Linked DNA regions of Rattus norvegicus. The protein of the gene in region 2 purifies or fractionates together with the protein of the main gene of each other region. This does not show direct contact. Links are inferred from orthologs where the notes say so. Each region holds a gene or a part of one and is shown on either strand. Other genes may lie near its edges.

Region 1 (4,290 bases), on a different chromosome or scaffold from region 2:
CTCATGACACAACCTAGTAGGCACTCCTAAATATCCTCTCTGTGTTCCTGGCATCAAGCAAACTCCTGATACCTAGTAAATAAACTCAGAAGTGTTAAAAGCTAACCATCTTATAAACAGCACTGTCGAGTAAAGAAGACAGGCCAAGTGAAATGGTGCACATCTTTATTCCCGCACTGGAGAATATGCAGGTGGCTCTCTTTGAGTTTCAGGCCTCCCAAGGCTACAAGTAAGGCCCTGGATTAGCTTCAGGAGCTTTGCAACAAGCAGTACTGCTTCACCTATGTGGAGTTAATAAAAGAGTGATATTTTAAGGGAGTGTCAATAATTTGTCATAGCATCACATATCCTCAAAAATACTCTGACACTGGTACTTTCTATTTCTTTTTTTAGGACCATTTTGGATTTCTATTTTCTTTTTATTCTTAGTAAGTAATGATGAGACTGTCAATGTCAATATATTATTTACCTTGGTATGGAGGATTATGCTAAGCCAAAACCGTTTCAAATAAGGCTTTCTTTGAATACAATGACATTTCTAATTGCTTTTCTATCTGTAGGCCCATGTGTCTTTAAATGTCTGTTGTACAGATGGGCAGTGGTAGTGCATGGCTTAATCCTGATCAGGAGCCTCCAGATCTGTTAGTGAGGTAAGCGTGCTCTACAGACTGAGTTCCAGAACAACTCAGGCTGTTAACTGTCTCAAGCCCGACCCCCACCTCCAAAGCTAGTCACAAACATTACGGAGCTCTTGCCTGCTCTAGGTTTACGTCAGATACTGGTCATAAAAAATAAAGGAGGCCTAGCCTCTGTTTTGGCGTTTATAAATGAGATAATACAACAAAAGTTTTAAAGTAATTATTACTGCATCGAATGCTACATAGCAATGAGATTGCTATTAACTGAAACTGAACACAGCATGCTGGATCCGGGTATCTACCTGGACTCTGGCTGGGGCACTGCTTAAGATTAGGAGCTTGTGGTCAGTCTGGTAACATAGGATTGTCACATACAGCCAAGTGTACTCTCTCTGTCTCCTTCTGTCTCTCTGTGTCTCTGTCTCTGTCTGTCTCTCTGTGTCTGTCTGTCTCTCTCTCTCACACACAAAAGCTGGCCTGACTCTGATCCGTAAACGCAACACTCATAGACTGAGGCAGGAGTTCTGGCTAACCTGGGCTACATAGTGATTCCAGACCAGCTTAAGCTACACAGTGGGACCATTCTCTAAAAATCAAAAGAAACAATTAACTGAAATAATTTGTGAGTTTCTGATACTTAATGGAAACTTGACAGTAGGTAGATATGTAAATGTTGACAGAGTTTCTCAACAGCACTGGCTGCACCTTACATCAAATCCAGTGAGAACTGGATCTTTTACATTGGAATGCCACATTTTGGGTTTTTTTTTTGTTTGCTTGTTCCTTTTTTTTTTTCCCCCTCTCTCTTTTTGACACAGGGTCTAAGTAGTCTCTGAACTATCTAGATCAGGCTGGCCTCAAACTCAAAAAGATCTTCCTGCCTCTGCTACCGCAGTGCTGGGATTAAAGACCTGTATCACCAGTCCTGGCTTTAAAAAAATGTCTTTACAAGAGAACTACAAATGAACACTTTAATAAAGTAATGATAGTTCTCACAGCAAGTCTAGAATACATTCTGACTATATCCACTTTGACATGCCATTCATTTGCTCGTCGATGCCAAAAAGGTTTGAGGATCTAGCTCAGAGTTCCAACTCCGGTGCGTTCCCTGGGGAAGCCAAAGGGGTGTGTGTGTGTGTGTGTGTGTGTGTGTGCGCTTGTGTTTAGTTCCCTGCATGGCAGCAAACGAACCCGTTAGTGAGAACCCAAAGGAGCAAAAAGCAGAAACAAAAACAGAACTTCCTTTTTCATGTCAAGCAGGCAATTTGGTTCTTTTAAATCTGTGTTAAAGCTCACAATAGGACTAGAGAGATGGCTCAGGGATCAAGAGCACTGTCTGCTCTTCCTGAGGTCCTGAGTTCAAGTCCCAGCAACCACATGGTGTCTCACAACTATCCATAGTGAGATCTGATGCCCTCTTCTGGCCTGCAGGCATACATGCAGGCAGAAAACTTTATGATGTATACACAATTAATAAAAAAAAAAAAAAAAAAAAAAAAAAAAAGCTCACAATAACCCAAAATGTTGGTCACCTCTTTAAACATGGTTCTTTTGGCCAAACCACTAAAAACATCTCCGCCAAACTTATCACGCTCTTTTCTTCAGAGCGCCGATCATTTATCATTTCACGGCCTTCTCCTTTCTCCCACTCAGAGCACCAGCACCTCTGAGCGTCTGATAGTGACCGAGACAATAAACTTGGTTCAGAGGAATAATAATGAAGGATGGACCTTTCCACTTGAAGTGGGGCGTTCCCAAAAGACGCCTGCTCAAGTCCGCTAACACACCCACAAGCAGCCAAGATGGGAAGCGAACTAAAAGGTTGAATGCTTTCAAGATAGACTGGCGCACCTGATACTGGGAGAGAGGGGGCTCCACGCTGCCACCACTGGGGCCTCGAAGGCGAACCACCAAAAAGGCACTGCCTTCTGCGTCCCACAGGAACAGTTCCCCTCCGAGGCCGAAGACCAGGTTTCTCGTCGGCAAATGCGGCGGCAGAGGCGGGCATGAAGGTGAAGTCGAAGTCGCTGGTTTATCCGCTTCGGCTGGACTCTGGTTTTTCAGACCTTCGCGGAGTCGCAAGAACACGACGTGGTTAGGAAGCCAGCTCTGCCACAGCTCCCCATCGCCCACAGGCCCCGCGGCAGCCGCCATCTTGGACCAACAGCTCTCGATTGAGGGGCGGGGGGGGGGAAACTCATGCTGCGCGTAGCCAATCCGTGGCCAGCATTCCACGCTTTAGCCTATAAGAGAGTAGGAATCCCGAGGAGTTGACCCAATAAGAAAGCATCGCTAGGGGAAAGACAGGGCTGCAGGTTGACGCCAAAGTGGGCTGGGCGGGGCGGAGTCAAGTGTGGGTTTAGGGAAGGCTTTGGTGCTACTGCTGGGCCAGTGTGTAGTAGCATTAAGAATGAGAGAGGTATATCTGATTGTCTACTGGACACCTTCCTCTGGGTAAACCCAGAACTTTCTCTCAAGACTCTCACCTTCCTCAGCCCACTTCTCAACTGCCACTGCTTCACCCATCCTTGGATTTCCCTAAATCTGTCTCTGTGCGGAGATAAGAGACTAACGCCCAGAAACTATAACTTCCAGAATCCTTTGCGTGCGTACAGGGGGCGGGGATTTGGGCGTCGCTTAAGGGATGAGATGGCCGAATCCTCGGGGTCTCCGCACCGCTTATTGTACAAGCAGGTGGGCTCGCCCCCGTGGAAAGAAACTTTCAGGCAGGTGAGTCTGAGGTTTGGGTCGTAATCACTTTTCTAACCTGTCCCAAGGATCTCTGTGTGCTCGCTTTAGCATTCGTCGTGGAGCAGGTGCCCTGTGTGATCTTCAACTCAAGTGTTTTGCTTTAGGACTGGGTCCTGGCTGCCGCCCTCTTCCTCCCGGGCTTTTGGCCCGAGTAGGTATTATTTTATCCCAGGATCCGACTTTGTTTAAAATTTTAAGTGTCATTACAGCAGTAGCAACATCACCACCTAACGTTGGGTTACAGAGGGAAGCACTCCATATGCACACATGGCGTGAGGAGTTCTTTTCTGAAGAGTCAGAAGAACATCAGTCACTGTTAGGAGAGTTGTACGTAAGCTCTCGTATCTTCTGAACTCAAGTAGTATTTCCCTGTTTGAAGCAGTATTTCCCTGTTCAGTAGTCTCTAAAGGAATGGGTGTATTCCAGAAGAACAACCCAGAAAAACAGTACTGAAAATATTATGTGTAGTAGTGTTTCTCAACAGTGAATGCTGACATTTTGAGGAGAAAGTTCTATTATGGGAGATTGTTCTGTACGATGTAGAACACTTAGATGCAGCATCCTTGGCGCCTCTACCTACAAAGTGGCATCAGTCAATAGCAGTTCTTCAAGCAGAGCTGAGACAACCACTTGGGGGTGGAGAGATCGCTCAACGTTAAGAGCACTTATGCTTTTGCAGAAGACCTGGTGGCTGTAACTGGTGTGGTGCACATAAACTCATATAGGCACACACATATACATGGGACCCTCCCCGGCCCCCAGGTTGTAAAGAACTATTGTACAAGAAGACCATTACTATAGCCATGGGTACAGTTGCAGGAATTTAGAATCCATATAAATGTCTGAAGTTAGTCTGTGGATACAGTTACTATGTATCCAACTGCCTTCATTCAGGATAAAA
Region 2 (3,599 bases):
ATACATGTAACCGAATGACAGACTTACTGTATTAATACTTATTTTCCCGATTTTGAGCCTGTTTCTGTAGCTTTGACCGTGTGGATGCATGTGGGAATGGGGAGCTATGTGTGCATAAGTGTACATGCCTGAAGAGACCGGAAGATGACAATGGAGAACTTCAAACCCTGAATTACAGGAGTAATTAAATCTGGATGCTGGGAACCCAAGTCCTCTCTACAAGAGCAGTGCCCACTGTGAAGTGCTAGGCTGCCCTCCACCCATGACCCATGAGCACATCACTTCTATAAACCACAAAGGACTGGGCAGGGACTTGGCACTTAGGAGGACTGGCTGCAGAGCCAGGAACACAGGTTTAAGCCCAATCACCCACACCGTGGTCAAGGTTGTAACTCCAGCTCCATGGTCTCTGATGCCCTCTTCCCAGCTTCTTCATGCACCAGTGAAATAGGAGGTGTACATGCATGCACACACACAAGCAAAAGCTCACACACGTTTAATAATAAGCACTATGATATGACATGTATACCTGCTGAGGCTGAAGATCACAAATTATAGTATTTATGTTGTTTAAAATCTCATCAATAAACGGCATTACTTCTCCAACTTGAACCTGAACAAAATGTCTACGGCATTTTTGAGCTATTTTAATAAATGTGTCACAAGCCATGTCCTGGACTCCATCATGGGTTTCTGGCAAAGTAAAAACATTCATTCATTCACTTTTGGTTCAACATAACAAATAAAAAGTAAAATTAGATACCATGAGTTTATTAGGTGAGACTTACCATGCATGAATTCGAAAAGCTTGTTTACTACTGTCTTCAAAAATTTCCAGTGTGCTCTCAGAAACCGTGGGTACTGGCCTACTATGTACATGATATTCGATGCAATGATGGCTTTATTATCCTTGCCTCTCTTCTGCTCACATAATCCTAAGAGGTCCTTGATAACAGTGACAAGGAACCGCTTCTCATCCTCCTCGTGCATCGCCCCACTGATGGAGCCTATTGCCCAGCACAGTGTATTCAAATTTTTCCATGACCATTCTGTACCATTCACTTGATTTTGAAGTTTCTTAGTCATTATTATTTCCGTATCTACATAATCCAGATGGGTAAGATAAACTACAAAAACCAAGAGAAAAATGCAGATGTTTCACATGAAAACAAAATTTTTTCTGCTAAGGTTTAAGAGCATACTGGTAAGCATATGGTTTCTAAAGGAGTCAGGTAAATGTAGAACTTGGACCAAACATTTACTTTTCACAAATATGGCAAAAAAGTATAAAAATTGTCATTTATTTACTTACCTAATGTTTCTCTCATATTCTTATACAAATTTATGGAATCAGTATCCTTCATGAACTCTCTTACAACTTCTCCCTGATCATTTTCTACAACCAGTACCTCCTCTGGTTTAGCCATGCGACTAACCATCAATAAACGAACCTATTGATCAATAAACCAGTAAAGGAACTGTGTTAAGACATTTAGAAGCCACATCAAATATAGGTCAACAGGACTGTGGATCCCTCCCCTATTTAGAGGCTAAGACTGGCTACCAAGTTGGAAATAAAACTTTCAATTAAGGCATAGCCAGCCATACACGCTGGTGAAAACCTGGGAGGCAGATCCACGAAGACCAAGAGGTCAAGGTCAGTCTCAACTAATTAAGACCTACCTACACTTTCAATTGCAAAATGCTTGGTTCTGTGATGCAAGTCTGTAATCTCAGCAGTGGGAAGGCTTTCTAATCTCAAAATTTACTCTTTTGGTTTTTCTGGATAGCCTTGGTTGTTCTCAAACTCGAGATCCACATCCTCTGCCTCCTGAGTGCTAGTATTAAAGGTCATCACCCCGTTTGATCTGTGTTTTTGATCCTATCAATAAACAGTCAACTTCTAATCTATAGACTTCATGTTTTATTGAATGACTAGATCGGGGATAGCCAATGAACAACATACACTTTAGTAAATCCAAATGATGCAAGGATGTTAGCTTAAAAAACATCCTTCTAAAACATTCTTGACAACTGGAAAACCTCTCAAGTTCTCTTCCCAACACTTTAGGCATCAAAGCTATAGTAAGGCTGGAGAGCGCTCACCACCGGTTAGTTCATCATTACCTTGGATAACACGGTCAAGTACAGCTGTCTCCGAGGAGGAATATCAAAGTGCTGACTTCCAGATAACAATGGAGAAGCAGATGTAGAAAATGGACTCTCTCTGTAGAGCTCAGCTGCCAAGTGATTCCAGTACTCAAGACAGATTTTAAAAATTTCAGTTTCTTCCACTTCAGACACCAACAACATGTAATGAAGAGCCTACACATTAAGACCAAAGGAATTAGTATTATCACAAAATTTTCAAATTGCTTCCCCAAACTTAGTAAGAATTAGAAACTAATATTCTGAATCTAGGCACATACATGCCTTTAATCCCATCCCAGCACTTGGGAGGTAGAGAGCCAGGTGGAGGTCAGTCTTGTCTACAGTGTGAGCTCTAGGACAGCCAGCCAGAGCTACAGAGGAAGCCTTGTCTCAAAAAGCAAAACCAAAAAACTATTATTTGAAATACATAAGGAGGGTGCTGGAGAGATGGCTCAGTGGTTAAGAGCACCGACTGCTCTTCCAGAGGTCCTGAGTTCAAATCCCAGCAACCCCATGGTGGCTCACAACCATCTGTAATGAGATCTGATGTCCTCTTCTGGTGTGTTAGAAGACAGCTACAGTGTACTCATATACAAAATAAAATAAAATAAAATAAAAAAATAAATAAATAAATCTTTGAAATACATAAGGAATTTCATTCCTCGAACAGACTGAAAACTGGCAGCAAATTTTTTTCTAACATGCCCTCCAATGTTTCCAGAGTACGTAACAATACAGACTCTTCACACAGCTACGCCCTATAGCTCTGGTGCCAGCTCATAGGAAGGCACAAACTGCACGCCATGCTCAGGAAACCACAAGTTTGAAGTCAGCTACAAGGCCATATGGTGGCAGATGATGGTAAAGCAGAGACTAGAGTCACAGAACTTTGAGAGTGGATGGTTATATATAACCCAATTTCACTCACACCACTACTTTGAGGACTTTGTCTCAACAAAATAAAATACTATAAAGGCTCAGTAAACACAAAACATGAACACGTTCAAAATGAAATATCGGGCTGGAGAGATGGCTCAGCGGTTAAGAGCATTGACTGCTCTTCCAGAGGTCATGAGTTCAAATCCCAGCAACCACATGGTGGCTCACAACCATCTGTAACATCTTCTGGTGTGTCTGAAGACAGTGACAGTGTACTCATCATATATAAAATGAATAAATAAAATCTTAAAAAAAATGAAATATCATATAACAATGAAGAGCATAGTAATGTCAGGGTTGGGGATTTCGCTCAGTGGACTAGCAAGTGGAAGGCCCTGGGTTCGGTCCCCAGCTCCGAAAAAAAGAAAGAGAAAAAGAAAAAATAAAAGAACATAGTAATGTCACAACATACTAAGGTTGGGGATTTAGCTCAGTTGTAGAGCGCTTACCTAGGAAGCGCAAGGCCCTGGGTTCGGTCCCCAGCTCCGAAAAAAAAAGAAAAGGAAAAA
Region 3 (4,197 bases), on a different chromosome or scaffold from region 2:
CCTTGCCTGGAGCCCCTGGCCTGTCATGTGTGTTTAAGGAGTACATTGCATTTTGGGGCTACCCATTTTTCTGCATCTTTCCACTAGAACTCAAAGCCAGCAACACGATTTCTTTCCAGAAATCCTACCAGGGCTACACGTCTCAGGGGCTACAGGCCTCTGGGGTGGTAATTCCTTCCTCATTTCTAATCAGGTCAGTCAGCCCAGCACACCCCTTCTCCAGACTGATAAGCCTTGTGGAGAGTGCATGCAGCCTTGCAGAAAGACACTGCCTTGAACCGTGAACATAATAAAAAAAATAAAAACGAACAATTGGACAAGCATTCAAATAAGTAGCTGAGGATAAAAGCAGGGGCAGGACTTGAGGAACGATGGCTGACATCAACAGGACATTGAACCGGCGTTCATGGTTCCTGGTGGTACAGCATAGAAGGACAGAAGTAGGCTACCAGATGCTTAGTACATTATTCCGGATGTAAAGGCCGGTACAATGTGTTTGCTTGTTGGTGAATACAGCTAGTAAATAAGAGTGCAGATTATTCAGGCAACTGTGAAGGGCACAGGAATTACTCTCAAAGCAGTGTCGGGCTGAGTACAAGCAGCGAAAGGATTTGATCAGGGAAGCATGCATATTAAAGGGTTATAATGAGCAAAGCACAGTCCAGGTTACATACATGCCTTGTGGTTTTCGAGGAAGGGCCTCATCGGACACAAACAACTTGAAGGGGAGTTAGTGATCATTTAGAAGGGCAACAGCCTTCTCCTCTCAGAATCTGCTCCTAAAAGTCCTGCCTAGCTTCAGACAGATGTTGACACACCCTTTTCGGCAAGTTCAAACACTTGGTTCTCACGCTCCTACAGGAAAGCAGCACAGGAGCTTAGCTGAACCGAACTTCCGAGGTTTCTGGAGGTTGTGGGGCAGAAGACCCTAACCTAATCTGTTGTGTGTGGGTGGCGAGAACAACAACTCAGGGGTCGTGGAGACGTCAGGTTTTTCTTTTTTTTTTTCTTTTTTTTACCTTCAGCAGGTTAGAGGAGGTGGTCTCCCGGGACGTGTAACCTTGCCACCAAAGGCAGAGGAGGTAGGGCACGCGGTTGGAGGCCTGGGCACACAGTACTTTGCTCCACAACGTTACACCGAGTTCGCCCAAGGCGAAATAGAGATCCTACCAGCGGAGGGCGTGGCCTGGAGCGGGGCGTGGCTCAGACACGGGCGTGGCCTGGAGCTCGGCGGGGCTTCAGCCAGGAGGCGGGGCCTGGGGCGGGGCGGGGCTTTAGCGCCGGGAGGCGCTGGCGGCGGTGGCGGAGTGGAGCGGAGCGCAGGGGAGGAGACGGGCGGCCGTCCGCGCGGAGGGAGTGAGTCACCTGACCGCCGCTTGCCGCCTGCAGTCGGGCCGTGCCGCGCCTCGGCTCCGGTGAGTGGCTCGGACGGTGCGGGCTGCCGTCCTTCCCGGGGGTCACCGGGGCTGGTGGCGGGCGGCCGCGCGGGCCTAGAAGGGGCGGCGGACTGCGTGCTGTTTACGCGGTGCGCGGACACTCCGGGTCGGCCGTGCCGGCGCCGCCCTGCACCGCGCTCCGCGGGCCGCGTCCCGCTCCGCCTGCTGCGGGGGCAAGGCCGAGCCGGCCGGGGTTCCGGGACCAGCCGGCGGTCCGCGCTCCCCTTTGTTGTAGCTCGCCGCACGTTTGTAATTTAGACTCGCACAGCATAGGCAGAGTGGGGTCTCGATGATAGACATCAGCTTTGTGTTCGTGTCTGGTAGCGCCAGGGCCAACGCGTTCTCGATCTTCTCCGGTACTTTGGTGTCATTTAGTGGAATTGCGCCGCTGGCTTTTATGTAGTGAGCTCTCTACGCTCAGCGTGCGCTGAGTCAAGGCAGACGTAGTAATTCTGAAAGAACGTGTGTGGGAAAATCCAGCTCCTGCGACAGGCTTGGAAGAACAAAGACTGTTTTTGCAGGATGCTGTTCTTTTTTGGAGAACTGTAGTGTTGTGACTGCTTGCCTCGGAGGATGCCCCTGCTGGGTCTTTGTTTAGGTATTCGAGCACTCCTTTCAGACTACTGTGTTTGCAGGGAAGGCAGTTCAGAAAGATTAAAGGATGAGCACCGTAGATTTGTTACTGGTCGAGCCTTTGAGCGCTACAGAGAAATGGGAAGAGGTATGGGTTGGCCTATTCTTCCTGCTCTTGTGGTAGTGGTGCAAGCTCTGGGCTGGGCTTGAAGGCGCTTGCCACTTCTGGCTTTGGACCTCATAAGGGAGTCTAGGGGAAAAAAGGCTCCTGGTGAGTCATCTTGGAGTTGAGTAGCTTTGGAGGAGTGATCGACTCTTGTTGTTTAACCGTCGTCGGATCTGTCAAGTGGCTTCCCTTTGTTCACTACGTTGGTTGGCTAACAAGGTAGGGTGACTCTTTAAAAGAGTTTGTGTTGCTGAGTCATTCACCCCAGTCTGAGAGGTAATTAGGAACAGCTGGTGCAGATACGCGCATCACATGCCTCCACTATAAAAGGGTGAGCTGCACACACGAGGGCTTGCTTCGGGAGGCCGGAGGGGGCCCAGCTGCGGGCTGTGTGTTTTGATACAGGTAATCAGTAGGTGACGTGGGAGAGCATGCTTAGGACGTGGCCAAGTAGCATCTAGGTGGTGTTTAAACAGCAGCCGCGTGGCCTACTGCGGGAGAATCAATTTGTGCTGGAGGAAGCGGTGTCTGAGGGATTTCAGGTAGAGGTAAGGCATTCAGCAGTATTGTAACAAAACAGTATTGTAACATTTCCTTCTCTTGCTGGCCTTGCTTTGCCGTTAGCATTGATGCGGAGTGGTGAATACATGCATAGTTATTCTTTATAAAAGTTATTTTTTTTTTATGAGGCCACAAAGGGGATTTCCTTTTAGGGCTTTTAGGTTTTCCCGCATAGCTAGTTTTTGGGGAGAAAGGTGGGAAAGGATAGAGTCAGCAGGTCTTCTTGGGTCAAGCCCAAGAAGAGGGGTCTATGTATGTCTCTTGACTTTATGGATCTTGTGGGATTTCTTTTTTGCCTGAAAAAAAAAATGAACACACACTCACACCAGTCCTCCGTGTAAAGTTTGAAAAGGAAACGTGTCTGAAGGGGAGGAGAGCTGGCTTCTTATGAAATTTTTTAACATTTATTTATTTATTATTTATTTGTTTGACACTTGCATTTGTGGGTCTTTCCATTTATCCTGTGGGTTCTGGGGCATGGACCTCAGGTCATCAAGCTTGGTGGTGAGTGCCTTTAACCACTCAACCTTTGCATGGTCCCCAAGGATGATACTGAATTTTTTATTATTGACGGTTTTCCTTTCAAACATCTGTAGCAGGGAAGCAGTTGGTGTGCTGCTTTAGATTTAGGGATTATCAACATGTCTTTTTAAGATGTTAGGAGATTTCAGGGAGTATACAGAGTGATTGATCTAACATGAAAATACCCACAGCAAGAAGTTAAAGAAGCAGAGTGACATCAATGTCTGCATATTAGATAATGTGGTTATACGCACATCATCCCTTTTGTCTGTTGAGGGATAAAGTTTGCTTTCCACTGCTATTACCGCTATTCCAAGTCTGCAACAGACACTGTGTGTGTGTGTGTGTGTGTGTGTGTGTGTGTCTGTATTTTCTGATCTCTTCCTGAGAGCTGTAGTTATTTCAAAATATTCTTAGTACTTACTTTTCACTTCATGTATAGTTTTTGTATCGTAAAGACCGGAAGATGTAAATTTCTTACTACATTCTTAAAGTTAGTGATAGAGATTAAAAAAAGTTACATTTTGATAACATTTTTTGGATTTGTAGGCAACCCCCTAGGGCGGTTGGTGAATGTGTGTGATCTGAACAGTAGTGGTTAGAATTTGGGATGTGATATTTATAACAAAAACTTTAAATTTTAAGGTAAAAATTCTCTTACGCTTTGGAGGCCTGTGGATTCCCCCTCTTTTTATATTCTTTTGATTATTCTTAAAACTGTGCATTTAGGTAATCCTTAGGAAGTGGAGTTTCTTAGACTGCCAACCTCTTGGGGTAGTCACTAATTTTTTATTTACATATTTGTCTTAATTCTCTGTCTCTGTCTCTCTGTCTCTCTGTCTGTCTGTCTCTCTCTCTCTGTGTGTGTGTGTGTGTGTGTGTGTGTGTGTGTGTGTGTGTAGGTTTGAGGACATCCTGTGGGAATAGGTTCTCTTTCTC
Region 4 (3,599 bases), on a different chromosome or scaffold from region 2:
GGTTGAGTGTATTACTGGTAGGCATGGGGTTGTCTCCATCATGAAAGATAGCTTAGTAATGTCTTGTGTATTAGTTTGTTTATTGGCTAATACCCAGGCAAAAGTGTGTTGATAAAGAAACTAAGCTGGGTGGTCCTGCATGCCTGTAGTCTTGACACTTGGGGGTTGGAGGCAGGAGGAACAAGCATTTGAAGGTCATCCTCTGTATAAGCAACATATGTCTGCGCAACATAAGAGTCTGTTTTGTGAAAGAAAAAAAAGAAGTATGAGACAGGGAACACATTTGTATTCTAGCTAAAGACCATGGTAGAAATTATTCCCACAGAATGCTTTGTTGTCAGAAGACTGGGTACATTTTAAAATTACTGCCAAACCCCAACACTGCAGGTATAAAAACCCTTCTTTCAACTAAAGTCTGTTTTCTTTACTAATTTAGTTGTACTTTTGTAACTCAAACAAAAATAATAATTGGAGCTGGAGAGATGACTCAGCAGGTAAGAGCTGGTGGTTCTTTTAGAGGACTGAGTTTGGTTGCAAACCCTTGTTTTCAGTGGTTCAAAATCCACCTGTAATTACAAGCTCCAGGGAGTCTAATGCTTTCTTTATCCTATTGGTACCTTACATACCTGTGCGCATGTGTGCGCGCGCACACACACACACACAAATAGAAACAAAGGGTGTATTTAAGAATCTAAAAATTCAAAGTATGTGTAAATAAACAGACCCTCCTGTACTTTGCCTTTATCCATGTGCCATCTCTAAAGATAATGTAATTCCTTAAAACAAAATATACTCTGAAAGTTCTAAGTAGTTGTCCTCATGTAGTGTTTCATTACTTTGATTTTTCTTTAACACATTTGGAAAAATTACCAATAATGCATATAGTTCCATTTAATTATTTTTAATTGCTGTCTGATAGTCCTTAGTCACTGGATATATAAATTGATTTATAATTGATATCAATTTGAATGGACTTCTAGTTATTTTTTACCCAGAATAGCATTGAATAATTATTCATATGTTCGTCTTTGTGCATGTATAATAGTTTTTCTTGGGAATTGATTGAATTGGAATGACTGCACAAAGAGAATCCAAATATAAATTTTGATGTCCCACAACAGTGCAAGTATACTTTCCCAGCACTAGTAAGCTTTCATTTGTCTAGATGTTTGCTGGTAATGGTTAAGAGAGTTACAAAGTTTGTCTTTTATTTTTCTTCAGTGTTATTAACTGTGCTTTTGAAGAACTTGTCCATTAAGCTATTTAGTTAGGCACTTCCTAGGCATAAGTCATTTCATTTCTTTTTAAGACATTGATCTCTTTCACATAGTTCTCCTATTTAATAATAATTTTTCATTACATTTATTTATGTATTTTTGTTTGTTCGGCCATATGCCATACTGTGGAATTTAGGAAACATCTGTCATCTTCAGGCATCTTTTGACCTCTGTCTTTGAGGCTATACTTATAGGTAGAAGTGCTGAGTTATATGGAATATTTATATTGATGGTTATGTTTGAGAAACCATATTTTCAAATGGCTGTGGTCTTTATATTCCTGACAGAAGTGTTGAAAGGTCCCAGATTCTGTCCTTTAATTGCTTGTTTATAGACATTGTAGAGGGGAGTCTGTAGTGATATCTTCCTGTGGCTTTTCCATTTCACTAAAGACTAATGATATGAGGCATATTCTACATATAAATTTATTGCCTATGTGATTTGCAGTATTTTCTCCTAGACTGTCTTCCTTTTCTAAATGTTGTTATTTTCTATTGTAAATACTTATTTCTTGTTTTCTTTTAAAATATATTTTCGACATGTATGAATGTCTTGCCTGCATGTATGTAAATGCAACATGTGTGTGTAGTGCCCACAGAGGCCAGAGGAAGACATTAGATGCTTCCTGGAATTGGACAGATGCTCCCTGGAATTAGAGTTACAGAGGGCTGTGAGCTGCCATATTGGTGCTAGAAACTGAACCAAAGTCCTCTGCAAGAGCCTCTTAAACTGCTTAGACATCTCTCCAGCCCCAGTTTTCAAGTTTGATGAGGTTCAGTTGTTGGGTAACAAGTTTTCCCCGGGGCTGGGAGGTGCAACGCATACATCTACTCACCCCAGATAGGGATTCCACTATGGACCAAAAGTTATGTCCACCACCAAAATTCAACTTGTTGAAGCGGTATGTTTTATTGGGGTTACTGACAGGAGTAGAAACTACTCAAAGTCAGCTGCATCACCAAAGCTCTCAACATGTGTGACAGCTCAAAAAGCTGGGAACCAGGACCATACTGTACACACAGGCCACTCAGCAGGTTGAAGAGTGTTCTTTCTAAGTGACTCATCTGGTCTAAACCTCTTCTAGGCACTTAAGGTTACAAAGGTATCCTATGTTTTATGTGCTTTACAATTTTAACTCATAGATCCTCACTCTTGAATTGATGTGAAGTGCCTAAATTCATCTCTTTTGGGACTGAAGAAATTATTCTTTCTCTATTAAAAAATGCCATTAATTGCTAAGTTCTGTTGATTAAATATCATAGCCTATTTCTGCAATCTCAAGTTTGCATGAGCTTATTATTTTATGCTAGTTCCATACTGTCTTAATTTTATGTCTAGAAATGTTAAGTCCTATGAATTTGTTTATTTTCCTTGGTATTGTTATACCTACTATGGGTAAATGAAGTTCTTATTTAGGTCTCATAAGTCCTTAGCAGTAGGTTTGTACTTGAGTGTTCCTTTGTTGATAGTGTTAAATGATTCTGCACTGAGATAGATATTGTTATCAATGACTGCTTTGTTCAGTCTCAGTATGTAATTTTTTCATGCATGTGATTTTAGTCATTTTTCTTGGCAGGTTTCATTTATTTCATTTATTACATAAGGTATTCTTTTTCTCTCTTGGCCTTGAATTTTGTTCTTGTGAATTAGTACGAATCTTGTTTTCATTTGTTAACATTTATTTTATTTGATTTTCATCTGCCTTTTTGCCAAAGAAGTCTTAATTGATATTCCTAAACTGTTTAGGCTATAATATTTTCTAATAGTATTGTGATGTGGTCCTGAAGAGGAAAACTCTTCAGAACTGTTTTTAATATTTTTTTAGATGGTCTGGATTTTTATTATTCTTCAAAACAGCATGCTCAGAAGATGGTGGAGTTTCTTCAGGGTACAGTTCCCTGTAGGTATGTTGTAAACCTAAATTTGTAAGTCCAAGGATATGGGAATAGGAAATATATAGGTCACACCTGTTCTTCAGTTTAGATAACTTACTTTGTTACAATAAAAATTTTAGTATGCACATTTAAACAATCATGAAATATTGAGTAGTCCATTTTATATTCTATTGATAATGTTTTTTTCTTAATAGATACAAATCATCACAAAGATTGATCTCCCAGGATATTCATAGTAACACATACAATTACAAGAGTACTTTTTCTGTGGAAATTGTTCCAATATGCAAGGTACTTCTTTTCATGTAATTAACTCTTATCTATAAGAGAATAATTTATTGGTTATAATTTATTGCTCCTGGTTTCCTATTGGCTGACTAAACAATAATAACTTCTTTCAATGACTTCTGACATGTTTAATTTTGTT
Region 5 (4,337 bases), on a different chromosome or scaffold from region 2:
CACCCCGCCACCTTAACCCACCTCTCTTTTTCACCTGTTTCTTACCTGCCAGGGGCTCTCCCCCCCCTGGAAGCCCGCCCTCCAGGGCACCCCCAAGGACCTCATAGGGGCCCAGGGGGGCAGGGGCCAGGGGGAGTTTCCCATAGTCTACGAGCCAGCCCAGCCCGCTAGCTGGGAGCAGGGCCCTGTCCAGCTCCAGTCCCAGGGTCGCCAGGAGTGACATGGCTGAGGCACAGGTGCAGGGCTGCGATGGCAATGGAGGCTGCACCAACAACTGGGAGGCAGCGTGGAAGATTGTTCAGCTGGGTGAAGACAGGCACCAAGGCGAAGGTGGAGGGCCTGTGAGGAAGACAAGGTGGCGTGGGTGGGGTTGAGTCAAAGCTGCTTGACCCACAAGCTACCCACACTTTTCTTCTTTCTGCAAATTCCAGAGCTCCATACATTCCCAAGGCAACTTTTGGAAACTCCCCAGCCCCATCTCCTCCCTCAACACAGAAACCTAGTGTTCTCCCAGGGGAATTACTTCCAGCCCCTCCTACCTACCTCATCTTATTGCTCTTCGTAAAAAAATTCAATCCCAAGGTAATTTTATTTTCTTCTAGCCGTGCCCCTTCCGCATCAATATTTTCTTTAGACTATACGCCCTTTAGAGTTCACAGGGGTTCCCAGAATAATTCTGCCATGCCTTGGGCCCTTCATCAGTGTTACACACACAAATCCCACTCTTCCCTTAAAAGTTTTAGGTGACTTCTACAGATTCTACGGGAAGCCCCGCCCACACTCCTGTCTGTCAAGTCAGTTCCCGCCCCCAACTAGCAAGTCCCTAGAGGCCCCGCCCCTTGGTTCTAGCTCCAAGTCTTTCTTAAAGGTGTTCTTTAGCCTTCCCTGTCAATCTAAGCCAGTCCCCGCCCCAGCAGGTGCCTGATTGGAGGGAAGTTGGACCAGTGTCAGAGCCTCGAGGAACTCCACCCTTCCTCGCTGATTGCTCGCTAAGCCGCAAGACGAAAGCTCAGACCCTGGACCGGATTCATTGTTACGCCACTACCCTCCTGGGGGGACCAGTGCGTGTGTTTAGCCAATTACCGGCCGCCCTCCGTAGTTCAGGCCGGGAATAAGGTAATGCGCATGCGCAATAGAGTGTGGGTTCGTATCCTCTGAGGGGAAAGGAGGAAGAGGGTCTGTGAATTAGTGCGCAGGCGCAATGGCGCGCGAACCGACCTTAAAAGCCCCCAGACTCTGCGGAAGCACACCCTCCCCCACGCCTGGAGCCTAGTGCGCTTGCTCAGCGGATGCGCCGGCCACCGACTTCCCTCTTCTGCGCCTGCGCGACCGTGGTTCCTCATATCGTCTTCCCCACCCCCTCCCCACGAGGCTGACCCGTGAAGCCCCGCGAGCTCTGTGAAAGGGCGGGAAAGGCGGTTGGAGAGGGAGGGGCGAGCGGTTACTCACTCCATGGCTGCGAAAAGGAGAGGAGGCAACGGCGGCGGCGGCCTCAGTTGAAGAGTCGGTGTGAGCAGAGAGTGAAGTCGCGGTGAGCGCGGAAACGGGGCGGGGGACACGACGAGATCGCGGCTACAGAGCCATTGCACGGGCGGAGGCGGCGTGGCAGGAGCGTTAAGGGAGACTGCTGAGAGGGTTGAAAATGAGGCGGCCCCGGGGCCTGGGAACAAATATACCGGGGGCGGCGCAGCGCGGGATGCCTGGATCCCTCCGCGCTCCGCCCTCGCGGGGCCCCGACGGGGCGGTGGCGACCCCGGGCCCGCCATGTCGCCCTGACCCTTCACTCACTGCTTCAGGCTGGGGGCCCGGACTCTGTTTCCTGTATCGGTTGGATCCTATTCGATCTCTCTTACACCCGTAACCAGCTCATCCCGTTATCTATCCCTGCTTCACAAATTTGCCACCAGTCCCTAAAACCGATGTCGCTCCGAGAGACCTCGTGGGTTAAGCTCATCGCGGAATGGCGAGTTCAAGCTAGCTTAGGCTTCATAGACGAGTTCAAGGGAGCAACAGCGAGATGTCGCTGTTTATAGATATACGCACAAATATACCAGCTATGGAAAGTAGGCCACGGAGTCCTAATCAGGACTCTTAAACCTTCTTGTTTGTTTTAACGTTTATTGTGTATGTATGTGGTGGTCAAAGAAGAGCTAGCAGGAGTTGGTTCTCCTACTATATAGTAGGGTCCCAGGGATGGAACTCAGGTCAGATTGTTTGGCAGCCTTTCTCCACTGAGTCATTTCATCTACTACTAAAATCGTTTTATTTTCTTTTAGATTAAGCCCCCACCCCTGGGAGGGGGCCTGATTTCACCCCTTTTTATCTCCCTACCCCCGATTCTTAGCCAGCCAACATATCCATATGATCATTCTGTGTGTCCCACCTCCAAGGTTTCTGTTTCCAGCCATCCCTACTTGCTACATGCTGTGCTCATCATGCCACCCTCTTAGGTTTTGCCCCTTGCTCTGACTTCCTTGCAGTCCTTGCTCTCTTGCTGACCCCACTAGATAAATTGTTTCTTGATCCTGTCTGTCCCCCAGGATGATGGGGCGGTTTTCCGCCCCGTGTTCGAGTATAGCCGTCATTCCATGTGGAAGCCAGTCAGCCTATCATATTTGTAGCAGCTGAGAGACTGAATGGGTGGAGATGGAACTCAAGAGTGCTTGCCTGTTGCACACAAGAACCTTAGCACCCAGCACCACATGGACGGTGCTTGGTAGTTGTCTATATTCCCAGCATTTGGAAGATGGAAGCAGAAGGAATCATGAATTCAAGGTCATACTGGCTGGCCTCAGTGTGTTTTTAAAAAGAAAAAGCTCAAAGGCCAGGCCTGGTATCTTACCTACTTAAGAGGCCAAGGCGGGAGTATTGGAAGTCAAGGTCAGGGCCTGAGCTGCTTTGAGATAGTTCAGGTGGTAATCTCTAAACCCAACCCTCTTGAGTTCCATCCCCAGAACCCAAAAGCAACTCTATAGACAGACGGTTGTCCTCTGGCCTTCACCATCACCACGTGTGGTGACAGGTCTGAATGCTGACTAGGAGTGTGATTTAAAAAAAAAAAGTTCATGGCTTGCCTGGACTAGAAAGTGAGTTCTTAGCCTTCTAGGGAACTTACAAAGACCCTGATTTAAAAAAACAATTATACTGGGCTGGGGGTGGGGGATTGGTGGCAGAGTATTGGCTAGAGTGCTGCTTTCCAGGACCTGGTTTCTATTCCTGGTACTGTAAAAGAAAAAAGATTGGAGCAGGTGAGGAAAACTGATTTTGAAAGTTACAAGCAGGAAGTCCTTGGCAATTTTACTCTTGGAGTGGGCTCTCTTAAAAGATTTATGTATGAGTACACTGTAGCTGTCTTCAGACACACCAGAAGAGGGTATCAGATCCCATTACAGATGGTTGTGAGCCACCATGTGGTTGCTGGGAATTGAACTCAGGACCTTTGGATGGGTCAGTGTTTTTTTTTTTTTTTTTTTTTTTTCCCAGAGCTGGGGACCGAACCCAGGGCCTTACGCTTGCTAGGCAAGCACTCTACCACTGGGCTAAATCCCCAACCACCACCACCACCCCTTTTTTCTTTTTTTCGGAGCTGGGGACCAAACCCAGGGCCTTGCGCTTGCTAGGCAAGTGCTTTACCACTGAGCCAAATCCCCAACCCGGGTCAGTGTTCTTAAGCGCTGAGACATCTCTCCAGCCTGGAGTGGGCACTCGTATCTGCTGCCAGTACAGGTAACCATGAGATGTGATGTGTTCAGACTCCAGCCCTAGCTTACCAGCTATGGGCTGCATTAATTCTGTGTGGAGTCTGTTTAGACTAGATACTGATGCATAAAGGCTGCCACTAATACAGAAGTGGAATGGACCCATGGCTTCATGCATTGCATGCTAGACAGGCATTCTACCACCTGAGCTGCATCCCTGGGCCCCACAGGTGCCCTTTTTTATTTTTGAAACAGTATGCCATGTTGCAATGCCTATGGTCCTCCTTTCCTTGAATTTAGTATTTTAAAGTAAACTTTTGGAATGAGATAGGTTTCAAAGACAGTGCAGAGTGGGTACCAGCTCATAGTCTCTTCCCTGTGGTGCTTCCGTCACAGCCAAGGCTGCACAACCTTTTTCTGTCCTGGGGTCCCACCCAGATGCTTCCCCCACCCCTAAACCCATCTTAATTTCAGTTGTGCTTGGTGGTCATCCTTGGAGGCCTGCCACCCTGAGCTTTGGCCAGTACCCAGCCCATGCTATGTGTCCAACATGTGTGTTATTCTTTGTCTATAACCCTTACCCAGTCTCAAATGGCAGCCTAGTTTCTTTACTCTCAAAAAACAAACAAATTCTTTGGG
Region 6 (4,249 bases), on a different chromosome or scaffold from region 2:
ATCTGATGCCCTCTTCTGGTGTGTCTGAGGACAGCTACAGTGTACGCATAAGCAGTAAATCATGCTTAAAGCCTGCACATACATGAACTTGGTTATGGCCCCACTGCCTTCCCAGAGGTGCATTTTCTGGGTTTCTCACAAAAAGACAGTTCTGTTTACAATAAACTGAAGTCTCCACACCTCTAGGGTACAATCTGTCAGAATCTTACCCAGGACACCCCAAGGTCATTCCATTTCTCAGTCACTTTCTGAAGACTTGCTCTGTGTGTGTAAAGACAGTTACACACTGCTTGGAGAAGCCCGTGTGTGTGTGTGTGTGTGTGTGTGTGTGTGTGTGTGTGTGTGTGTAAAGACAGTTACACACTGCTTGGAGAAGCCCACGTGTGTGTGTGTGTGTGTGTGTGTGTGTGTGTGTGTGTGTGTGTGTGTGTGTGTATAGACAGTTACACATTGCTTGGAGAAGCCCATGTATGTACCCTTTCCCTGAGCACATTGCTAACAGTCCCTGTGCTTAAATCACTGGTTCTCAACCTGTGAGTCACAACCACTTGGGGAACTCTACTCAGTCCGGGCTTCTGGAAAAGCAGCCAGTGCTCTTAATGGGCCATCTCTCCAGCTTCAAAGCCATCTATTTTTAACTTCATGTGTGGGTTTGTGCATTGGGAATGCACAAACATGCAGACTGCAGAAGGTGCTGGAGCCTCTGGAGCTGCTAAATGTGGATGCTGAGACTCAAACTCCCGTTCTCTGAAGAGTGGTATAACCCTCACCCATCGAGCCATTTCTCAGGCCATTTAGATAAAATCTCCCCATGTGCTATATATATATATATATATATATATATATATATATATATATTTTTTTTTTTTCCCCCCACAAAACCTGAGGTAGAAAACAAGGTTAAAATTGTTGTTCTGAAGGAGTGGCACGTGCCTTTAGTCTGAGCACTCAGCAGAGTTCCAGGACAGCTAAGGTTACATAGAGAAACCCCGCCCCCCCCCCACCCAAATACCTCACCCCAGCAATAGATAAAAATAATATTGTTGCTCTTCCAGAGAAACTTGGTTGGAGTGCCAGCATCCACATGGTGGCTCATAACCATCTAAGTCCATTTCTCGGGGTTCCCATACACACGGTACACAAAAACACAGGCAGGCAACATTGACACATTAGTAAGGGGCTAGAGACATGCTTTGGCCATTAAGAGCATTGATTGCTCTCTCCCAGAGGACCCAGGTTCAATTTCCAGCACCACCCACATGGCAGCTCAGAAGTATAGGGCTCTAGATAGGGAAGCGGACACTTTCATAGTTACATGTGCACGCAAAACACTGATGCACAAATTATATACTTGAAAACTTTTAAAAAAAATAAATCTTGGGCTGGGGATTTAGCTCAGTGGTAGAGCGCTTACCTAGGAAGCGCAAGGCCCTGGGTTCGGTCCCCAGCTCCGAAAAAAAGAACCAAAAAAAAAAAATAAATAAATAAATCTTGAAAAAAATTAAGGAGGCGGGTTAAGACTTTAATCCCAGACTTAGGGAGGGAGAGGAGGGAAAATCTATGAGCTGGAGGCCGGCCCACTCTACAGAAGGAATTCCAGAATAGCTAAGGCTACAGAAACATTGTGTTGAAAGACAAAAGGGAGAGTCCAGCAAGTTATCAATAATCATAGATGGGGGATCGGGATTTTCTATTCAGGATTAAGCTATTAAATACTTGTGTCTAAGTGCATACATGCTCTCTCTGCATTTACATGCCTGTGTTCATGGAGCCCAGGGTATTAGGTGGGTGCTGCTATGTATCAGGTGCACTAACCACTGAACCATCGCTAACCCCATTTTTTTTTTTGTTTTTTTCGGAGCTGGGGACCGAACCCAGGGCCTTGCGCTTCCCGCTAACCCCATCATTAATCTCTTTATAAGACCCTGTTTGTGGCACACCTGTAATTACAGCACAGACAGGTGGAGCCTGAAGTCAACCTGATCTACAGATTTCCAGGTCAGGACTCACAGGGAACCATCTATTATACACTGGCTGGGATCTTAGCTGTTCTGTGTGCATGTATGGACATGCCACAAGAGGCCATCAGATCCCATCATAGTTCTGAGGCACCAAGTGGTTGGCAAGAACTGAACCTAAGACCCCCGGAAGAGCAGCCACCACTGGTAAGATTCCCCAACATTTTTAGGAGACAAGACTCACTGTGTAGCCCTAGATGGCCTCTGCCTGGGACTAACCTTTCCTGTTAATTTAGGGTATCATGCACAGTAAGGCAAGCATTAAGCTACACTCCCCAGTCCTGTATACTTATTAAGCATTAAATTGTAAGCATGTCTACGTAGCTGGGCATTTGAAGGTTACCAAGACAACTGTGATTGAGGACAACCTCTGAAACTGGGAGGTTGGCAATTCTGAAGCAAGGGTGCTTGCATAGGAACAGAAATTGTACTTTAAATCCAGGCAGCTCATCTCACAGAATGCAAGATTTAGTCTCTGACCTCAAGAAAAATTCCTCTTGCACCTTGAAGCCTAGGTACATATTCCTACCCAGGGTCCTCAAGAAACTTAAGGGCAGGTGAAATAGCTGAAGGCAGACTTACACACAGAACCTCCCAAGGTCACCGGATTCCACTCTGGAGTATAAACATTAGCTAGTGTCTATTGAGAATGCTGCTCCATCTACCCTTTCTGTCAGAGGGGGCCACAGATGCAAGTATTGCCCCACTGCAGGCCCAATTTATTTCCAAGAACAGGGAAACATACCAGCATCTTCAGGCCTACCTTCGAGGTGCCCCCTCAATGCCCCCATCATTGAGGGCCCTGACTGCTCCGTGGAGGCAGGCAGCAAGGAGTCATCAACTTCCCATTATGACCTCAGGATCTGTCCACCTTCTATCACAAGGCTACCCAGTTTTAGGACTGTCCAAGTTGAACTGCTTAGGACTAACCTCCCAAATTCACTTGACTAGTTTCCCACCCAACACTATCACCAGAGCAGAAGGAATGTAATTTCAGTACTTGGATGGATCAAACATTCACTCGGTTTATCTTGAACCCATCTGTAGCCGTCTGCATGCACACATTAAATCACAAGAAAAGGCATTCAAAAAGCTTTAATTCAAACTTGTCAGGCATATCACAAAGACTCATAGATTACAACTGGATCGAATAACCCATTCTGGATCTGAACTCATGGCTACAATCTTACAGAGAACATGGGAACAAAAAATATAAAGTTTATATAACATGGTCCTGGGGAAACCTCCTGGACCTCAAAAAGGAGAACCATGCTTCATTTTCACAAATCTAGACACAACCTGTATGGAAAATGTAATTGCCAGACAAAATTGAGTAGGCACAAAAGCTTGTCCAGCTTCCAATGGATGAGGCCATAATATGGACAAGATTTCACCAAGCTGCATATAATTAAAAGGCCTCAAAGTCTTTTATCAAGTAAATCAACAGGCACCTGTACAGATAGATCCTCTTCTTTCCTGAAAGAGGGGGAAAAAAAATACCACAAACATTACATTCCCGAAGGCGGCACAGCAAAAGTCTTATCACCTTTAAATTTTTGTTTCCTGCATGGTTTGTCTCCTCAGTCACGGTCCACAGGACTCTGAGAAGTCGTAGGAATATGCAGGCGCAGACTCGAAGCCCAGCTCCATCTCCAACGTTGTGGAAAGGGACTGTACATCATCGGGCAGTACCCTATGCTCCCGTACGCCACTAGGACAGAGCCCGGGGAGAGTGACCTCCCGGGGTATCCACGTTGGAATGTCTGGTTAGTACTCTAAAAATCAGTCAAACTCAACCAATACAGACTACACACACCCCAATTAGTGTCCCACCACTATTAACTTAGACACACGGAACAAAGAACGTACCTCAATGAGTTCTTTGGGATCACTCATCAATTCTGCAATAGAAGACACTCCGTCAGTAAATTAAACGCTTAAAGTACGCAGACCCACCCCCAGATTGCGATTTAAGACTGTTTCCTGCATGGTTTGTCTCCTCAGTCACGGTCCACAGGACTCTGAGAAGTCGTAGGAATATGCAGGCGCAGACTCGAAGCCCAGCTTCATCTCCAACGTTGTGGAAAGGGACTGTACATCATCGGGCGGTACCCTATGCTCCCGTACGCCACTAGGACAGAGCCCGGGGAGAGTGACCTCCCGGGGTATCCACGTTGGATAGTCACGGGAAAGACATTTCTTTTGACAAAATGTCCCATAGTCCTTGTCAG
Region 7 (3,599 bases), on a different chromosome or scaffold from region 2:
CCTAGCATCTTCTCCCACTTTTCACTTCTCTCCCTCCCTTCCTCCCTCTTAACCTCTGCTCTAGAACCTAAGCCATACCTATTTCTCTTCTGCCCTGCTGTAGGCATCTTTACTGACCAATCGGGGATAACTTGTGGGGCAAGGTTGCAGAGTATCACTTGGTTAAGTGAAGATGACCTGGTTCCTGAGGTGACCAGGGCTGGTATTTAGTATTACAATACAGAACTACAGCCAGCCTCAACAGTTAGCTCTCAGTAGCTCTTCTGGAAAGGGTGAGGCCTTATGGGCTCCGTCCTTATCCGTGAAGGAAAATTGACCTGCCCAGTTTTGTATATGTTTTGTGTAACTGCTGTAAGGTTGTGAGTGTTGTGGCCATGTCCTGTCCAGAAGACAGCATTTCACAAACTCCTCCCAACCTCTGGCTCTTAGATTCTTTCTGCAGTACAGAGCCTTTATGTGTCTTTTAATTTACCTTTTAGTGCAAGAGTGATCCCTTTTTGTTTAGCTCGTGGTTGTCCCACATAGGCTGAGCTCCTAAAATAGTTCCTGAGCACTGTTTACTGAGTCTGGCACATACCAGACACCCAGTAAATGTCTCTCATTTAAAACTTCTGTTTCTATATTTCAGCAAAAATGATTCCTAGCCAAACAGAAAGACCAACCTACTTCAGTAGAATGGAGTAACTGGAGTATTTGAATGTCTGGGTGCTAAATGTAGCATAACCTGGTGTGCTGTAGTGCACGTAACCGAGTGGGCCTGAGCTGCCCCCACTGCAGGTGTGCTTCTGGGCACTGAAATTTGAATTCATGTCGCTTTGTGTAAATATTGTTTTAAGCCTTACATTTAAAGATTTCTTGGCTGACAGGTCCCACAAACAAGAAGATAGTAAGCTGGGTATAGGCGTGGGTTTTAGTTTCGTAGGCTGATATGAGGTTGTTTTGTAAGTTATGAAGGACTGTTAGGTTTGATACAGATATCGTTTACCCTCACAGGTCCGTTTTCTGTCTGATCTTGTGAACTGTCATGTGATTGCTGCCCCATCTATGGTTGCTATGTTTGAGAATTTTGTAAGTGTAACTCAGGAAGAAGATGTGCCTCAAGTAAGCACCCTTTATCTTGAATCTTTTCTGTGCAGCACCGTTACTGAGGTTTTTGTTTTTGTTTTTCCCACTGAGAACAGCAATAAAATCCAATAACATTATCACACTGTAATGTTTAATATCTGAAGGGCAAGTCAGCTGTCTCACTGGTGGGTCCTTTTGATATCTTTGTGTTAATTCAAATGATTTTAATAAGATTAGAAATAGATATTTGGAAATTCTCTGGGTTAGCCAGATATTTTATTTAAGCTCTATTGAAAAGCCTCCCCAGTATTGCATTTATAAATAAAAAAAGGTGTGGCGGAAGGGAGTTGTTTAGCCCAGTTATAGAATGCTTGCCTAGCATCTAACCGTGGAAAGAAAGAATAATTAATAAATAAAATTAACTAGCATGCACTTTTTTATTACCCTTTTAAACTTGTTCAGGTGCGACGGGATTGGTATGTGTACGCGTTTCTGTCATCCTTGCCCTGGGTTGGGAAGGAGTTGTATGAAAAGAAAGATGCAGAAATGGACCGCATCTTCTCCAGCACCGAAAGCTATCTCAAGTAAGGCCATCACTCAGGTGCGCTTTGTTGTTTGCATAAAGATGTCTGCTGACCCAACAAGTGCCTTAAGTTCTCTGGTAGCAGCAGCACCGTTTCAGTTCCATTTTAAAAGACAAAACAGAACCATAAAGTTGTAGAAAATGTTCATTAAATTGCATTCTCCTGCTGCGGTGACTCACAAGACCTCAGGACTTTGTTAGTGCATCAAGCTAGCAACGAGCCTTTCAACACCGCGTATGACAGCGCCTCTGCGGCTCTAGTGTTCCTAAGCTGAGAGTCACCTGTGGCTCAAAATTACCCTTCTGCTCAGGCTGCTGAGTTGACTGGACGAAGTTCAGACATGATACTGATGACATTACATAGACATAGAAACATAGAAATGACATTGTTGGGTAAAGATTCAGAACAGTTGAGAATTTTGACATATGTAGTCAGATTGTCTTCCAGAGACATAATCTCTTCCAGAGTTGAGGTTGTACCAATTAACCCTTGTGCCATCAGTGGTTGAGATACAGAAATGCCTATATCCTGATGATATGTAGACCATTATCAAAAACGTTGATCTGCTGATCTGATGGACAGAGATGTCTTTCATTGCTTTAGCTAATCATGAGAACCATTGAATGTCTTTTATGTTTTACACCCTAAGTGTAGATTTTCATTTTTATCTTTAGAAGACGCCAGAAGACTCATGTGCCCATGTTACAAGTATGGACTGCCGATAAGCCACACCCCCAAGAAGAGGTGAATTGACTTCCGTCTTGTAATAGAAACGCAGCTCTTGAGTGGATTCTGATCTCTGTAACATGCTTAAACTGAGTCAGTGAGATGGCTCAGTGGGTAAAAGTGCTGCTCCCAACCCTGCCTGGCATTCAGTTCTCAGGACCACATGGTGGAAAGAGGGACTGGTTCCTGCAGGTTGTCCTCTGAGCTCTGTAGTGCTGCACAAATGAGTAAAACCACAGCCTTAGAAAATGTTCTGACTGTTGCATCTGTACATCTTGGCTGGGTTCCTAATGTTTCCAGTGAGAAATTCATTTCCTCAGAGTCTGAAGCATAGTCGGAGCTCTTTAGTAGATGGTAGAATGTAATTGAAACACCCCTTTGCTTTTTAGAATACCAGTTTTCACAGACTTGACAAGTTTTATATCTAAATACTCAGTTTTAAAAATAGCAGAAGTGGGGCTGGGGATTTAGCTCAGTGGTAGAGCGCTTACCTAGGAAGTAATAACTCTAAATGTGCTTCTGAAAACAAACTGCTTAAGGAGAAATGGAATGCGGGCGGCCTGAGATAGAGCCGGGACTGCGGAGGGAGAGCGGCCCTGGCAGGAGCTGCCCTCTGACCTACATGCAATGCTGTGGCAAGTGCATGCACATTAATGTAATTTTAAATGAAAACAAAAAATGCCGTTCCTTACTACTATATGACATACTGATACATGTTGTGTATTCTAGAGGGTCGACTTTTCTGTATTGTTTAACCAAAATGTGTCTACTAAATATTAAAATCTCTTTTTAGTATTTAGATTGCCTGTGGGCCCAGATTCAGAAATTGAAAAAGGACCGGTGGCAGGAAAGGCACATCCTAAGACCCTACCTTGCCTTTGACAGCATCCTCTGTGAAGCACTACAGCACAACCTGCCTCCTTTCACACCACCGCCTCACACCGAAGACTCCGTGTACCCAATGCCCAGGGTCATCTTCAGGATGTTTGACTACACAGACGACCCAGAGGTAAGTCAGTGACCGAGATCTCCCGGAAGGGCCTGGCTTCAAACTGTACTTGTGACTTAGTTTCCTTTGACTTCTGTCTTCGATATCTTGAGACAGGGTTTCTGGATTCCAGATTGGCTTTGAGTTTACAAATTCTCTTATCTCAGCCTTTCAGGTGCTGGGATTACAGGCTCGTACCACCTTGCCCAGCTCTGAAATAACCTTTTAATTTTCAG

The links.
Region 1: the proteins of Xpo1 (region 2) and Nup88 purify together in Homo sapiens (affinity purification with mass spectrometry; 3 studies listed by BioGRID and IntAct, with this or other methods). This does not show direct contact. The link is inferred for Rattus norvegicus from reciprocal best matches to the Homo sapiens genes XPO1 and NUP88.
Region 3: the proteins of Xpo1 (region 2) and Bach1 purify together in Homo sapiens (affinity purification with western blotting; 3 studies listed by BioGRID, with this or other methods). This does not show direct contact. The link is inferred for Rattus norvegicus from reciprocal best matches to the Homo sapiens genes XPO1 and BACH1.
Region 4: the proteins of Xpo1 (region 2) and Nmd3 purify together in Homo sapiens (affinity purification with western blotting; 3 studies listed by BioGRID and IntAct, with this or other methods). This does not show direct contact. The link is inferred for Rattus norvegicus from reciprocal best matches to the Homo sapiens genes XPO1 and NMD3.
Region 5: the proteins of Xpo1 (region 2) and Nup62 purify together in Homo sapiens (affinity purification with western blotting; 4 studies listed by BioGRID and IntAct, with this or other methods). This does not show direct contact. The link is inferred for Rattus norvegicus from reciprocal best matches to the Homo sapiens genes XPO1 and NUP62.
Region 6: the proteins of Xpo1 (region 2) and Rcc1 purify together in Homo sapiens (affinity purification with mass spectrometry; 3 studies listed by BioGRID and IntAct, with this or other methods). This does not show direct contact. The link is inferred for Rattus norvegicus from reciprocal best matches to the Homo sapiens genes XPO1 and RCC1.
Region 7: the proteins of Xpo1 (region 2) and Ncbp1 purify together in Homo sapiens (affinity purification with western blotting; 3 studies listed by BioGRID and IntAct, with this or other methods). This does not show direct contact. The link is inferred for Rattus norvegicus from reciprocal best matches to the Homo sapiens genes XPO1 and NCBP1.

What each region holds. Positions count from the first base shown.
Region 1 is NC_086028.1:56,188,021-56,192,310, forward strand, and holds the start of Nup88 (nuclear pore complex protein Nup88), read right to left. Parts: upstream 2,810-4,290; 5' UTR 2,793-2,809; coding exon 2,490-2,792; intron 1-2,489. Other genes in the region: Rpain (RPA-interacting protein), read left to right, coding at 3,288-3,368. UniProt on the Homo sapiens protein: Component of nuclear pore complex.
Region 2 is NC_086032.1:101,461,888-101,465,486, reverse strand, and holds part of Xpo1 (exportin-1), read right to left. Parts: intron 2,326-3,599; coding exon 2,128-2,325; intron 1,452-2,127; coding exon 1,313-1,451; intron 1,128-1,312; coding exon 789-1,127; intron 694-788; coding exon 530-693; intron 1-529. UniProt on the Homo sapiens protein: Mediates the nuclear export of cellular proteins (cargos) bearing a leucine-rich nuclear export signal (NES) and of RNAs.
Region 3 is NC_086029.1:40,424,393-40,428,589, forward strand, and holds the start of Bach1 (transcription regulator protein BACH1), read left to right. Parts: upstream 1-1,328; 5' UTR 1,329-1,415; intron 1,416-2,427; exon of another isoform or gene 2,428-2,723; intron 2,724-4,197. UniProt on the Homo sapiens protein: Transcriptional regulator that acts as a repressor or activator, depending on the context. Binds to NF-E2 DNA binding sites. Plays important roles in coordinating transcription activation and repression by MAFK.
Region 4 is NC_086020.1:156,332,840-156,336,438, forward strand, and holds part of Nmd3 (60S ribosomal export protein NMD3), read left to right. Parts: intron 1-3,102; coding exon 3,103-3,181; intron 3,182-3,366; coding exon 3,367-3,463; intron 3,464-3,599. UniProt on the Homo sapiens protein: Acts as an adapter for the XPO1/CRM1-mediated export of the 60S ribosomal subunit.
Region 5 is NC_086019.1:104,434,556-104,438,892, forward strand, and holds the start of Nup62 (nuclear pore glycoprotein p62), read left to right. Parts: upstream 1-1,472; 5' UTR 1,473-1,531; exon of another isoform or gene 1,532-3,056; intron 3,057-3,193; exon of another isoform or gene 3,194-4,337. Other genes in the region: Atf5 (cyclic AMP-dependent transcription factor ATF-5), read right to left, coding at 46-223. UniProt on the Homo sapiens protein: Essential component of the nuclear pore complex. The N-terminal is probably involved in nucleocytoplasmic transport.
Region 6 is NC_086023.1:149,825,618-149,829,866, forward strand, and holds the start of Rcc1 (regulator of chromosome condensation), read right to left. Parts: upstream 2,815-4,249; 5' UTR 2,782-2,814; exon of another isoform or gene 2,601-2,781; intron 1-2,600. UniProt on the Homo sapiens protein: Guanine-nucleotide releasing factor that promotes the exchange of Ran-bound GDP by GTP, and thereby plays an important role in RAN-mediated functions in nuclear import and mitosis.
Region 7 is NC_086023.1:65,221,612-65,225,210, forward strand, and holds part of Ncbp1 (nuclear cap-binding protein subunit 1), read left to right. Parts: intron 1-993; coding exon 994-1,101; intron 1,102-1,527; coding exon 1,528-1,649; intron 1,650-2,323; coding exon 2,324-2,393; intron 2,394-3,168; coding exon 3,169-3,384; intron 3,385-3,599. UniProt on the Homo sapiens protein: Component of the cap-binding complex (CBC), which binds cotranscriptionally to the 5'-cap of pre-mRNAs and is involved in various processes such as pre-mRNA splicing, translation regulation, nonsense-mediated mRNA decay, RNA-mediated gene silencing (RNAi) by microRNAs (miRNAs) and mRNA export.